Macaca fascicularis: one gene and its partner. The protein of the gene in region 1 binds, or shares a complex with, the protein of each later gene. Links are inferred from orthologs where the notes say so. Each region holds a gene or a part of one and is shown on either strand. Other genes may lie near its edges.

What was found. Proteins that work in one complex are often made in the same cells at the same time.
Region 2: the proteins of ATP2B1 (region 1) and NPTN are in contact, whole or in part, in a cryo-EM structure (PDB 6A69), measured with the Homo sapiens proteins. The link is inferred for Macaca fascicularis from reciprocal best matches to the Homo sapiens genes ATP2B1 and NPTN. Residues at the interface, in NP_001353449.1 of Homo sapiens: Phe954, Asp955, Ile956, Asp957, Glu996, Arg997, Asn998, Val999, Glu1039, Gln1040, Leu1042, Trp1043, Ile1045, Phe1046, Met1049, Gly1050, Leu1052, Leu1053, Gln1056; in NP_036560.1 of Homo sapiens: Arg245, Ser246, Asn248, Arg332, Arg334, Pro339, Pro342, Phe343, Gly345, Ile346, Glu349, Ile350, Ile352, Leu353, Ile356, Ile357, Tyr360.

The regions. Positions count from the first base shown.
Region 1 is NC_088385.1:96,593,536-96,601,241, forward strand, and holds part of ATP2B1 (plasma membrane calcium-transporting ATPase 1), read right to left. Parts: coding exon 7,701-7,706; intron 6,704-7,700; coding exon 6,542-6,703; intron 4,496-6,541; coding exon 4,281-4,495; intron 1,902-4,280; coding exon 1,659-1,901; intron 322-1,658; coding exon 80-321; intron 1-79. UniProt on the Homo sapiens protein: Catalyzes the hydrolysis of ATP coupled with the transport of calcium from the cytoplasm to the extracellular space thereby maintaining intracellular calcium homeostasis.
Region 2 is NC_088381.1:50,554,029-50,561,834, forward strand, and holds the start of NPTN (neuroplastin), read right to left. Parts: upstream 4,374-7,806; 5' UTR 4,201-4,373; coding exon 4,110-4,200; intron 4,081-4,109; exon of another isoform or gene 3,827-4,080; intron 1-3,826. UniProt on the Homo sapiens protein: Probable homophilic and heterophilic cell adhesion molecule involved in long term potentiation at hippocampal excitatory synapses through activation of p38MAPK. May also regulate neurite outgrowth by activating the FGFR1 signaling pathway.

The sequences.
Region 1 (7,706 bases):
AACAACAACAACAATACAGTAAATATTCCATAAAGCAACTATAGTCAGCAATTTATTCATCTAAGCATTTTACTCTTACTTTTTCAGAATTATCTCAGATGCGCCCTTGCTGAATATTCGGTAACTTCCATCTGAATTTTTCAGAACAGTACTCATGGATTTCCTAACAGAATTGAAGGTGTAGACTTTGTACAGTGCTTCTTCCGGTATTTCATTTCTAACATCCTGATAATCCCGTTTTAAATCCAAAAGAAGTCCCAACAAGGCACATTCAGTTTTATTACCAACGTGACGAGGTAATCCACCCTCTTTCTCTGGGGGCTGTAAGAGAAAAAGGTTTAGTAGCTAGTATCATCTTGTTTCTCTATGAACATTTAATTTATAATGTAAAACAGAATGCGACATTCTAAAATAAAATTACAGAACAATTGTCTAATATCAACATTTTAAAGGAGGACACAGAAAAGTAAGGTAGAAAGGAGCCTGGGGTGAGAATGACATGGATTCTAATCTCAGTCCTGCCAGTTACTAGCTACATGAAATTTGACAATTGCCCAACTGCTGTGGTCCTTGGCTTCAGCGTCTGTAAAACAGGAGCACTTATGACCCCAAAATTAAATGATATAAGATGTATAAAGTTTATAGTTGGTTCCTAATACAGAGTGGAACTTAATTTTAATTCCCTTTTCCTGTTTTCACTTAACTTTAGTACTAAATCATTCAAAATTAAATCTACTTTACCAATTTTTATGGATTAAAAGTACATGCATTAAAATATTGTTCTCTTAAATGCAGTGAGAAGCTTTATTTCCTTCACAGTGCCTTCAGAAATACCACCTTACATAATCATCACAATGGGATTAAGGGCCGACGTGATCATCTTTACTCAGTAATTAAAGAAGGTAGCTCAGACTTTCAGCTAGTAAAAGGCAAAGTCAGATCTAGAACCAAGATCCCATAACTTTCCAATGCAATCATCCAATTCATGTATGTTTTCCCTAATGAACAGCATGCAATATTGTTTTTGTTAATGATTTTCATCCATAAATCACTAGAAGAGATTAAGTCAAACATAACATTGTATGCTTTCTGTTACAAATAAGATTTCTAAAACTTGTAAAGTTGAAAATTTTGTTTTATATGGTGGCACATGTCTAGAATTACTTTACTGCATTAGTTCTACCAAGGTTTCTAAGCACCACCTTTTAGGTAGGAACTACTGAGAAACCAAACAGAGCACATGGCAAGCATATATAAAACATGTTATTTTAAGTTGAAATCAGGCTTCAAAATTTTCTCTAAGTTGAGAGCTGACCTACTATGGTAAGACAGCTTGATCTTTCTCAAAAATGAGTTTAACAAGAATTTAAAATTAAATACATGTTCTGCTTATAAGGGTGGAGAGTTTCTGAACACAGGAAATTCAAAATATAGGAGGAGAAAAACGTAAGTAAACAATGTTTATGTTGATCAGCAGATCTCACTCATAACACAAATTTAAAAACCATTATATAAATAAATATATGCCTTTTAAAAACTTAACACAGTTCAGTTTACTTTACATACAGTAATGGTGGGTCTGAAGACTTACATATAGTCCCATCATTATAGATTTAAAAATTAATTTTTATATACATAAATTATTTCAAAAACCTTACCAATATTTTTGATGTATAAGCACAATTCACAGAAATTCCTGTTACAAGATAGGACAAAATATTTGGTGGAATAGCTTCTGGCTCAGGAACCTTTTTATAATGTTTTTCATTTATGTAAGCTTGAACAACTGTCATTCTGTTCATTGTCAAAGTTCCTGTTTTATCTGAACAAATAGCTGTAGCATTTCCCATGGTTTCACAAGCATCCAGATGCCTTACTAAGTTATTATCTTTCATCATTTTCTACATTAAAAAAAAAAAAAAGTTAAGCTGCATATAAAACCAATCACCTCATTACATTAAAATGATTACAAATTGTTTTAAAATTAGAACTAAAACTCCCAGCTTTCTATAAATACAATGTATAAAGTACCAATGTAATACTAAAATTTTTTTTTTTTTTTTTTAGCATATTTGACCTATTAAAATAAGCTAAACACAATGCTAGAGCTTTCTGGGGTTTCAATCATTTTATTGCTGCATAACATAACCTAGTAAGTCAGTTCAGGCACCTGCATCCATAAACAAATAACACTGAATATATGTCTCCAACGGTTTTTGCAAAATGTCCTCACATTACAAGAGCAATGACAATCTGTATAGTGGTACTTATAGTAGTGTAAGAGTATATTAAAGGATTAAGCCTCCCTATTAAGTGGAAAACAAAAGATTCTTACATCAGTTCCAAGGAAAAAATGGCCTTTATCAGCTAAAATAAAGAGCTTGTGGGTATGTAATTGCTTGATATTTTTATTATTAATTCTAAAAGAGTTAACATATCAAAACTAGAATGAGTCATTTTTTAGCTATTCTATATGCTGGCAGACTTGGCATTTTCATCCTTAGCAGCAAACTGTGTCTCACTTCTTTCTCTCATTTACAACAGAAAAAATCATTTCTAAAAAACCAACAGTTTTCACAGTAGTTTCACAGGGCATTTAAGCCAAAATACCTTATAATTAGTTCTCAGCACTTAATGTGGAATGGGTTAAAAACTATATGAAGTTATTTTACAAAGTGTTTTCTGTGATGACTAATATGCAAGATACTGCAAAAAAATTGGTTCCTTGAAAAAATACGTGAAAAACAGATGCGCACTTCCTAAATTACTTGTGATTTACATATTAAAGTTGAGAAGAATGAAGTTTTGCAGTAAAGAAACCATGTTCAGTTTTGTGAAACACTAACAGAGAATCCATAAAGACTATACCTCTGTGAAAAGAACAGTAATTGGTAACATTAGAGCTAGATAAACATTTAAGAAAGGCTTAAAAAAGTAGTTAACTTGTTCTTACTAATTTTATATTCCAAAAACATACATCAATCCTACCAGTATCGTTCTAATCAATTAAAAAATTAGTATCATTAATGACTACTCAAAATGAACTAATGACAGTTTGGTAAAATGACTGTTCTGTGTCCAAAACTTGTATTTACCCCAAATTTTTCAAATTACTTTAAAATATCAAAAAAGGACAAATAGATGACTGATTATACTATATCTTATCACTTTGATACATTTACCAATTTATTTTTTAAATGAAAGTTGTTAAATGCCTGAAAAGAAAATAAACTCAAACAGTAAGCAAAAAACATTCTTATCAAGACAGGTCTAATAATGAAGAGTGGAAAGGTAGAAACGATGACTAATATTGCTCACTGTCAGCAATGTTTCTTAAGGAGAACTAGTAATTAACATTTGAAAATTTACAAAAGCAGCATTCTTCGTTTGGTTATAATTTTTTACCTGCAAGATCATTTTGAAAAAAAAAGTTCAAAATTGTCCAAGCTACGTTTAAAAAAAAAAAAAATGCAATCCACCTTTTCCGTAAGATAGAAAATTGATAAAAATAAATTAATAATCTTCCAAAAGATTATTACTTTAAGGTAAACAGCAGTAAGCAAAGCCATCAAAGCTCATCTCTTAGTATTCTACTTGGAGAACAAGAAGGACTGAGCTACTGTATATCAAGTGGTCAGAGGAAGGTGACACTTGAAGGGACCTTATGAATAAAGAAAGAGAGCAGGTTACTCAAAGGAAGGAACAAGTGGGCCCTGAAGTAAGAATACAGTTGAGATGTTTGAAAATCATCAGGAAGACTGGTGAGGTTGGGCCAGAGGAGCAGAGAATGAGCAGACAGGTAAACAAAGGCCAGATTGGCAGGGCCTTGCAGGCCACGGTAAAGAGTTTGCATTTTACTCTAATTGTCATGAGAACTAACTGAAAGGTTTTACACATGGAAATCATAATTTTTAAATTTGTTTTTATTTTTAGAAACATGAGCCTAACTTGCTCACCTTAATTTTACAGATGGAAAAGAGGAGGTGACGTGACTTGACAATATAACTATCACGTAGCGAAAATCACGCTAGAACTGTGCCTAGCAGAGTCGTGCTTAGTATTGTGTCAAGGCTGCCCTTATGTGGAATGCACAGGTCTCTTACAGAGACACTCAACTGGTGGGAGGTACAGGGCATCAATGACAACATTTCTAGAGAAAATAGTGTACGTTTATGAAAGTCCTCACTTTCAGAAGCAGAAAAGGAGTAACTAGATGGGCATTTTCTATACCAGCTAAGGGTTTAAACATAACAACGTCTACTGAACAATTTTCTACTTACTTTGACTGAATAAGCCAGTGAGATCGTGACTGCAAGTGGAAGACCTTCTGGCACTGCGACCACTAAAACCGTAACTCCAATAATGAAGAACTTCACAAAGTACTGTATATAAATTGGTGTGCATTCAGCAAGCCATGGTCTTTTCTGAACCCAGAAGGTGTCAATGACAAAATATAATACTAGAATGATAACTGTGATGGCAGACATCAAAAGACCTTTCAGAATAGAAATGAAAGAAAAATGTGATTATTTAAAGTTCCAGACACTAACCACTGCCAGATACATATTAACCACTGTAAAGAGTTATAACTTGCTCGATAGTAATGAATTTCTCTGAGAAATTGTTACTTCTTTCTTGCACCTAACTTGTAACTTGACATTGTCCGATTCAATTTTTTGCTTCCAAGTACAGTCTTGTCCCCAGGAGAACTGGGAGAAAAACACTTAGGATTCTTTCCTTAGACTTAATTATATCTTTGGCCTTGTACTGAAACTGAGACAAAAATAATACGCAATGATAAGGAAGTACCCAAAGCTTAGAATAAACTGGTGCTTTACATGTTCAAGAAGCAAGCTCCCTAATGCTTAAAGAGAAACTGGTAAAAATCTGATCAATGGGGAGACCTGGAATTAAATACTCAACCCATGTTTTTAAAAAATAACATTATAATAAATAAAATTATATAGTACGAATTATTATTTCTTCAATTTTTTTTGCTCTATCCTTACTGTTTCATTAACTTAGTAAACCAACAGTTAACCATGTATCTTGTGGGATACTCTGCTTTTTGACGTGTATGAAAAAACAGGGCAGCTGGCTGGGTGCAGTGGCTCATGCCTGTAATCCCAGCACTTTGGAAGGTCGAGGTGGGTGGATCACCTGAGATCAGGAATTTGAGACCAGCCAGCCAAACACGGTGAAATCTCATCTCTACAAAGATACAAAAATTAGCTGGGCATGGTGGCGCGTGCCTGTAATACCAGCTACTCCAGCTGAGGCAGGAGGATCGCCTGAACCCGGGAGGCAGAGGTTGCAGTGAGCTGAGATCGTGCCACTGCACTCCAGCCTGGGTGACAGAGCGAGACTCCGTCTCCCACCCCCAACCCCCCCAAAAAGGAGGCAGCTGGGCACAGTAGCTCACGCCTGTAATCCCAAGACTTTGGGAAGCTGAGGTGGCAGGATCACTTGAGCCCAGGCATTTGAGACCAGCCTGGCCAACACGGTGAAACCCCGTCTCTATTAAATTTACAAAAATTAGCCGGGTGTAGTGGCGTGCATCTGTAGTCCCAGCTACTTAGGGGGCGAAGGCAGGAGGATAACCTGAGCCTTGGGATGTCGAGGGTTCAGTGAGCTGTGATCATACCACTGTACTCCAGCCTGGGTGACAGAGTGAGACCCTGTCTCCAAAAAAAAAAAGAAAAAAGAAAAGAAAAAAGAGAAAAGGTAAGTCCACATATCTGGTTCTAACATTCCAATCTAATGTCTACTAAGTGGATTTACCACCTCAAATTCACTCTTTTCCCCCAACATTACATGAGTCAGTATTACCACTTGGCTACATATTACAAAGAGCAAATATTTGCTATTAGATAATAAGCATACTGAGGACAGAAGCAAAAACATCACTTTTTCCATCACACTCCTAGAGTAGTAAAATGATACAATTTAAGCAATTTTAATAATATATGCTTATTTATCCACACAGTGTTCTTCCAAAAACATACTACTGCTGGAGGTTATGCTGTTTTTAACCTTAGAGCTCTGCTTTTTCCCTTAAAGAACAGCTGTATTAACAGGTATTTTCTAGGGATGGCAATAATGTAGTAACTTCAGCCTCACTACAATAACTCCAGTGCAGAACTTTAACATTAGAGACATAACTAAAAATTCTCATAGATAACCAGTAAAAAGATGAGCAAAATGTGTGATGAAATTTTATTAAAATATAATTAGTTCATCTTAACTGAATAATCTCACAGGTTGCCTTTTCTCCACTTAATGCAGAAATTCAGAGATGAGTGCATAGACTTGTAACTGGACAGACTTAGGCATTAATCCTAACCCGACCGCTTATTAGCAAATTTTAAGTACCTATAGTAACTCAAAGGGCCTGGTGCACTGTAGCTAGAAGTGAAAATATTTCAAACTCCCCTTCTATTCACAAAGTAACAATTTCCAGGCTTAAGTGTGTCAAAAGACAATTTGTAAGCAGAAAGCATATTTAAAAATAAAACACTTAATTTTCTTCTCCATATCATACCTGCTTTGCCAATCTGAACAGCCAGTTTTGTAAGTTTTCCTTGTAAAACAGATTTTTCCTTTTTTGGCAAATTTGCTTTCTTTTTATCTTTTTCATCACCATCTCCACCTTCTTCACTCTTCAGTGGCTGCATTTCCATGGCTGCACCATCCTGGGCTTTTGCTACATTTAAGAGCAAACACAACTTCACTATACTTTAAAGGCACATATCATTATTAATATTTTAAAGAAATTTTAAAAATCAGTTTCTTACAGTAACCAGTAAAGGTATAAGCATTCAGCTTTGTGAGTGTGTGTGTGTGCACGCGTATGTGTCTACACAGAGAAAATAAGACAATAGTGACATTAGGTTGTGAAACTTTGTACCAGATTTGAAAATGTTGTGCTAGGTAATGAGGATGAGGCATGTACGGTCCTTAAACTAAGAACTAAAGAGTATTAAATTTCTTTTCCTGTGCGTTTTGTTAGGTAACATCTAAACAACATAAATCCCTCCCCTATAATTTATGACCATGATGTAGAGATTATGTATAACCGTATGTATATAGAAATATGCATATATTTATGGACTCTTAAATAAATGCAACATTTATGCTATATATTTTGTTTCTTATGCATTTTTGCTACTAACTATATAATAACCAGTGTTCAAATACTTGACATACTTGAAAGTTACTCTACATAAACTACTGACCTCGTGTGATGGGGCATAGTTAAAACTCTGTTTCATGCACAAAATTATTAAAAATATTGTACAAAATTACAATCAGACAATGTGTAGAAGGTGTATATGGCAATGTATAGATAAATTTCATGTTTGGAGTTGGGTCTCATCCCCAATATATCTCATTATGTACATGCAAATATTCCAAAATCTGAAAAAAAAAAAAAATCTGAAATCTGAAACACTTCTGTTCCCAAGCATTTCAGATAAGAGATACTCAACTTGTACCACAAATCATACTTAAAATCTTATTACCATTAACACTGTAGTGATAACATGACTAAGACAACGGCAGGAAGAAAGGTTAATCCAAGCTAACATATATTGTTGATTTTCCCTGCCACATGTATCTTACTTTTGAATAAATATGGTACACAGTAGATCTTTGGATATACTGAAAACAAGCTCACAGTACTTTTGTCTTCCTAAATTTACCTTTGT
Region 2 (7,806 bases), on another chromosome or scaffold:
GTTTTAAATCTTGGTATATTCACAGGTTAAGCTCTACTGCGTCTGGCAACATAAAAACCCATCTGTATCTCTTTCTAATTTGGATCCAGTAACCTTGTAAAACAAACCCAGGGAATGGGTCCTGATGTAGTAACATGGCCTATCCTCCCAGACCCAACCAATTTCTCATGCCTGGGTGCTCCATTATATCAGTAGTGACAGTTTAGCCAGTAGCCTGAGAGACTGAAAGCCTGTGATCTCCTTAGGAAGGGCTTTATTTCAAGGCAAACTATTTCTTCTGGTCAAATCTTATTTGGATTATCTCAAAATTTTTTGCTTGACATTTGGCACGTCATTTGTGCCACAGCTGCCGTAGATAAGATTTGTCTTCTGTTGCTCATTTCAGCTCAAAGAGAAGACACAAAATCAATTAGCAAATATACCTCTAAAAATGTACTCAGGGAGAAAAAATTGCCAAACCACTGAAGCAAACAGCCCTTGACAGAAGAGAAAAAGATCCATGAATCATCTAATGCAAATACTGGCATTATTACAAAGCACAAAGTTCACAACTATCTAGTATCACCCAAGCAAAATGGTTTCTAAAATTTAGGTCGTTAAAAGTAAGATTCATTAGATTCCCTATTTTCCTCCATTGAACAGTGTTAATTATGTGATGTCATATTTTCCATATGAATATATTACATTTTTACACACCACTCCACATTTATTAATTCAACTAACATCTATAACACTCCCACTGTGTGCTGGGCACCACATTCTATTTCTCTTATTCACAACAATAATATTCTATGAGAAAGTGATACCTGGCCCATTTGAAAGATTTGGTTCACTGAAAAAAAAAAAAAAAGAAGAAAAAAACAAAGCCATAAAGTCTCTCCCAGAAACTCAACTGAAAATATTAACTTCCTCACCAGAATTGGCAATTGCAGACACAGTGCAGCTGGTCACTTTTCTGAGAAAGTTACATAAGCAAAAGCACAAATCTCTATGTGGGGCCTTCAAATGGCCTAGTTACCATGACAGCAGCATTAACAATCAAGTTTTCAATATACACATGAAGAAAAATAAATAATAAATAATGCTACTCTTTAAAGGATAATAGTAATAGCTAACATGTACTGAGACTCACAATATTCCAGGTTAAGCGCTAAGCTGCCATTACCTCATTTAATAAACCTCACATCATCCCTAGGGAATGGACCTTATTGCAATTCCCATTTTACAGATGATGAAACTGAAGTTTGCATTACTCAAGGTCACTCAGCTACTGAGAGCTGGAACTCAAACTTGAGTCTGTTACTGTCCAAAGCATGCACTCCTGATTATCATATTATACTGCTTTGTTTACACTCACTCAATTGCAGTCCAATACTTTTGAATGTCTTATAAGGTTACTTTTTAGAACAAGTTCCTTCTTTAAACTACCATTTAGATGATACATATAAAAGTCAACAAATAAGGATTTTACTTGGAACCGGTCTTACAAGTTTAAATATCTGGACGAGAAACAAAATCTGAATGAAAGCCCTGAATGCCCACAGCAATGGGTCAGAAACTCACTGGAGCTTCAAGAGACCTCGAGAGTCATACAGGCCAAATTCTTCATTTTAGGAATAATAAAACAAACATCTTTTGAAAAACATCTATATTCAACCTAAACTACTACATTTCCGATTCAGAGACACTTGTGAGTTTTTTTTCCTCCAATCATTTAAATAGAAAATCTAACATTTCTAACATTTCAACATCATGCACAAACAAGGTATCCCTTTTTGAAAGTACTGTAAGAAAATACAAACCCCATGACATGAAGTTAGATCACTGCAGGGCTATTTATTACTAAATGAAAGCGTGAATATTATAATAAGACATGTTATAGAAAGCTATAAAATGGCATCCTTAACTATACGAACTCAAACTCAAAAATAGCCATTTTTCCTTGAATTAAATTTACATTCATTTGGGTCAACCAGCAGCTCAGCTTCATTTCATCGGTCATGTCATGTGACTGAATTCAAGCTCATTTCAAGGGAAAGGCCGTTCTATGCTGTATTTAGAACACATATCACTGAGCAGACAGATGAGTCTTTATAGGCCTATCCAGAAACCTCGCTTTAGTTGCTAAGAAACTACAATTTTACCGTATTATAAGTCATTGGAAAAAAGCTATGCCAGCAGAGATTAAACACGTTAAGATCAAGAATCTCTCACCTATTGTGCAAAATGAAACTATGCTATTACCATAAACTGAATAGCTAAAATTAGCATTAGGCTTCTTTAAGTCATGTTGTTGACACAGTCGAAAAACTGATAAGACAAATTAAGACTAACTCTACCCTGCCTTCCACAGTGGACTCATCATACTTAGAGGAAAACAGGAAAAATACCCAATACACTTAGCATATTCAATGCTAGAGATAGAAAAAATGTTTCCTTCCTGACGCCTGCAGTGATATCCAAGGCCATGAAGCATACATAAAATTTGGTACTACAAACACATATTTAACTGATGGATAATGTCAATCTTTTATTTATATATTTTCCCTCTAACATTCAGCATTTTAAACTCAGTTTCTCAAAAACCTCCACTGGCTCTATCACTGATGCTTTAAAATTTAAATTGCAGCCTCTCTAATAAGAGTAATCTTAAATTGTTCTAGCATAACAATAAACACTGAAAGATTAGCAAAAATAATTTATAGTTCATTCTCCAGTACTGACTTCTCATAAATTCCTTCACAGAAAAAATATTCTTTAACCTCTTAACGGCTGTTTCCACAAGGGCAGAAACAGGTTCACAATCCTAGACTCACTTCTGAAAGATCAATTCAGCAGCTGAATGGTAACACATGCCTTCAATCAGAATCTGTTCTGTTTAGATCCCTATGCCCATGATTCCCCACCATTTCTCCTTCTTCTCAAAGGAGCTTCAATTCAAAACCCAGTAATTCTCTCGTTTCTACTGTACCACCTCCCAGGGGCCACTTTCAGGTTCCTCGGAAATAACATCTTTTCTGTATTGAAACTTTTAAATCTCAAAAATCCACTTCCCCATCTCCCTGTTGCCAGTCACTGCCCTCAATCCCACCACTGCAGTTAGTTGCAGCTATGTGTCCCTGTCTTCCCAAAGGCCCGACCAATATCATACAGCATTTGCCACATACCAACTCCTCCCTTCCCTAATTTATCCTCCACACTGCAAACCAACATTACACCCCCGACTTCCTGCATTTTACTCCCTTCCCTTATTTTTCGTCTCCCCCACCCCCATCTCTATACCTAGGCCTCCTTACTTCTCTAATAAATATTCCCCCACCTCAGTTCCAACCCTTTCCCTCCATCCTCTGCTCATTTTCCTCTCCTTATTTAGAAACTCCTTTTTGCTCTCCCAACCACTACCCTAGAATGCCCAGCACTCCACCCTCTTTAGCAAACCCAGCCCTCTTCCCCCAGCTCATTTGGAGATACTGCTGCTTCTCTCTCCAGGTCCCCTACTGCAGTCAACCCACTCCCTTATCTTCCCACCCACCCTCCCTCTATCCCCAGATCCAAGGTTCCCTGATTCTTTACCCCCTCCTTTGGTATCTAGTACTCAGCTCACCATTAGTGTGCTTCAGGACTCTCTTCCCCCCAATTTCTCCCTTATTTTTAAGGATGTCACCAGTCCTACGGGGCCTCAGTAGAATCCTGGACGACCCCAGCTCCCAGGGGGCCTGACCGACACCACCATCCCCGTCGCCCGGAACACAAACGCCCGTCTTGTGCCACCCTCCCTAAGAGCTGTGCCCCCTCCTCATCCGCCCCCGCTACTCCAGCTCCTCACGTCGGCTTCCTCCGTGTCCCCTCGCCGACCCGGCACGACGAGCCCCACGACTTGGAGCCCCCAAGTCGGCAACACCTCGGGCTCTCCCTGGACGCCCCCGCCGCTCGGACGGGCGCCTCCTCAAACCCGCGGCCGGTACCTCCTCCTCTCCGACCCGCAGCCCCTCAGACGCCCACTCGGCACCCTTCTCCGAGCTCCAGCTTCCCCTCGGGCCAGAGCCGGGCCCTCTCCGGCCCCGGCGCCCCTCAGCCCCCGCCCGGCCCGCCCCCGGCGCCCGGCTTACCGTTCTGAGCGGCGCCTGGCCCTGGGAGGAGGGAGCCAGAAACCAGCAACAGCGAGAGGGCCAGGGCGCTGGGCAGCGACGAGCCCGACATCCTCCTAGCAGAAGACCCAACAGTGAATGGGCCGGGGCCAGAGCCGGGGCCGGGGAAGGGAGGGGAGGGAGGGAGGGGGCGGGCTAGCGCGCGAGGGAGTGAGCGAGGGAGGAAGCCGCGGCTCGGCTCCGTCCTTCCCCGTCCTCCTCCTGCCGCCGCAGCGCCCAAGCCTCGCGAGACCTTCGCTCCGGGTCGTGGGCGGCTGAGGAGCGACCGCCGCAAGGCTCGCGAGAAGAGGCGGCCCCGATGGAGACTCCCGCCCCGCGGACCCGGCGGACCCGCCCCTGCAGAGGCTGATTGGCCTAGCGCGAGGTAGGTCACGTGCCGAGGGCGCCTCTGGCCATGTGACGGGGCGAGGCGGGACTCCGCCAGCTCTGCGGGCGGTGGGGAACCGGGAAGCCCTCGTTCGGTTTACTCCTCTGTGGCCCAGGCGCACCCATAAATAAGAGGAAGCTTTGAAACACAGTACATTTCCTCCACCCATCCTGCCTTTCATTTGTTAGCGCTCTTGGCTGCAGAGTTTAATACACCGTGCCTCCTTTCCTCCTTCCTCTCATTCTTCCTCTCATTGTCCCCTGCCCTGCTGTTTCTTCCTTCTGGACTTTGAACATAGACCTCTACTGGTAACTGGCTCCAACTCCTTCTCTCATCTGCTGTTTTTTCCTTCCAGGAAAAGTGGTGCGCCCCCCGTGCCCCCTGTTACCTTGTGCCTTCCTGCTGGACATCTGCTCCCTTTGCCTGAAATGTCTTCCTTTTCCGCTTCTGCCTACTCCTCCTCCCCACCCCCATCTGGGCCTTATTTTAGCTTATAGACTCTAAGGGCCTAAAGTTCAACTAGCCTAATTGCATGTTCATAGACACAATTCTACAAGGAAGTCATCATATATGAACTTACATGAAGACTCCTGAGAAGCGTCTTAATGCGGGAAACTTTATTGAGAACGTGCTGTGTGCCAGGCGCAAAGTGAAACCCACATGAAAAGATAGTCCCCGCCCTCATGGAGTGCCTTGCCTAGGCTAGCAGAGGAGTGAGGAAGGGTCAAATGGCCCATAGGAAAGGATCTAGCAAAGCATTCTGGAGGGTGATTGGCAGTGTGGTTACTACTGTTTGCATAGAAGTTTAGGAAATGCTCTTTTTAGGGGTATTTTTTGTACTACCCTCAGCGCTTGTGGTTGGCAAAGTTCTATGGCTTAGCTCTTCCCTGACTCACAGCAGACGTCCTGGGAGTGTCTGTGGCATCTCCGAGGAGCCAAGTAAACAGTCCTGGTGGCCTGACTTGATTTAAAGAGAGGGTTTGGAGGACCTAGAAGAAAGAGACCCTCGCAATCTCTGTCAAGCTAAAGTGGTCTGGAGCTTTCAACAACCAGCTTGTGGTTCCAGAGCAAACTTTCCAGCAAGGGCCAGGACCACTATGGCATGTTGTCGATTGAAGTGAAAACTGTATCTTTCAAAACCTGAGGTGTGTGAGTGACGAAAAGATTGGCATGTACCTTCCTCTGGACAAAGGCCATTCTGCAGACAGCCCTGTAAGGAGGGCTACAGGGCTGCCTGTGGTGGGATCAATATTTTCAGCTGATGGAAGCTTTGGTTGGATGCAACCATTCCGCCTCATTATAGCTGTAACAAATATGGCCCTTTGATCCTTACAACAAGAGATTCTTACAAAATGATCATGCTATTTTTGTGAATAGGGAAGCTGAAGCCAAGGGAGGACACGAATGGCTCCAGCTCTGAGAATGTTTGTATTAATCATTAATGCCAAACAGTCTGGTTTGCTTGTTAATAGGCTCATGGTGGAAGTGCATTTTCTTGTCGCCTTGAAGTCGGGAGTGGCATGTGATGTGCTTGGGTCAGTGAAATGTGTAAAGTGACATGCATTGCTTTCAAGCAGAAGCAATGCATGTTTAGACTCTGTTCCATACTCTTTTGTCTTGGTAGTGATTACTGATCATGACAATGAAAGCGCATATCAAAAAGAACCTTATGTCAGCATTAGTCCCTGAGTTAGCATAATAAGCTGAACCCCTCTGCTAACCCATACAGAACAGGTACCCTCTGTTGAATTAAACTGTGAGATTCAAGGGGTATTTGTTCCTGTGACATAACATAGACTGTTCCGGCTAAGGGAAAGATGAAATTCAAGTCCACAACACCACAACACCTACCATCCAGGAGCTGTGTCATCTTAGGCAAGTGACCTAATCTCTCTGGACCTTATTTTCTGTCAAATGGTGCTAATGATAGCACCTGCCTTACAAGTTTATAGAAGCAATAAATTAGTAGATTTATGTGTGATGTTTAGAACAGTTTCTGGTGCATAGTAAACACTCATGTTGATGTTGATGATGATGCTGCAATTCTGACTCCAGCTTTGTATTCTTCTTATCTCATGCTTTCAAAAAGTGATCTGGGAGGAATATTTTTAAGTATGGGTGTTACCAGTCAACTCTCAAAACCTGCACTTATGAAAAGCCCTTTTGCCCAGAGAGAAATGTCTTCAAATTCCACATGATAGTAGCTGTACTTCGTCACTTTTTGTTGAGAAAATACATAATAACTAAGACCTTTTAATAATTCTGTAACTTTTTTTTTTTTTTTTTTTTGAGATGGAGTCTTGTTCTGTGGCCCAGGCTGGAGTGCAGTGGCGGGATCTCGGCTCACTGCAACCTGCACCTCCCAGGTTCAAGAGATTCTCGTGCCTCAACCTCCCAAGTAGCTGGGATTACAGGCAGCTGCCACCATGCGCAGCTAAGTTTTGTATTTTTAGTAGAGACAGGGTTTTGCCATGTTGGCCAGGCTGGTCTCAAACTCCTGACCTCAGGTGATCCGCCTGCCTCAGCCTCCCAAAGTGCTGGGATTACAGGCATGAGCCACCATGCCTGGTCTAAGTCAGTAACTTCTGTAAAAGAATTTAGGAATTTGTATTTTGTTGTTGTTCAAGACTTACATACACTGTAAAAAAAAAAAAAAACTCTTTACAAGTGTATGTGGCTGTGCCAGAGGTTGGCTGTGTTCTTTGCAATACCTTAGAAGAGCCCTAGGGGTCCTCAGAGCTCAAGCTGAGACACTTTCCTGGCCTCCAGGGACTGCTTGGAGTTAGGCTCTCCGTTGCTGATCGCGCCCCCTGGTGGGAAGGCCTGTAATACAGCATTCCCAACTGAAAGGCTTCGCGTGGATTGGTTTGAACATGGTTCACTCAACCATTGGAAGGATGTTAGTCAAGAGGCTTGTACTGTTCCTAGAGTTGACCTTGAACTTCCTAATGGTTTCCTCCCTCTTGTAAAGATCTCTGCCCCTTTAAAGCTCTTGCTATTCAGATTACCACCCCACTCATCTTGATTGTTGTCATCTTGCGACCTCCCAGCCAATGTAATCTTTTCTCTGCCCCTTCTGATGCCTAGTACCATCCTTGAACTCCATCCATGGGTGAGTTCAACATCCATGTTCATGACCTATTCAGTACCATGATCTCTTAATCCTTTTACCTTCTCATGTCCAACTTTCTCCTCAACTAAACCAACACTTTCGAGCTCACACCGTCAACACTTTAATCACCCAGAAAGGGCTTCATCTTTGAAATATGAAAATATAATACCCCCTGTCCA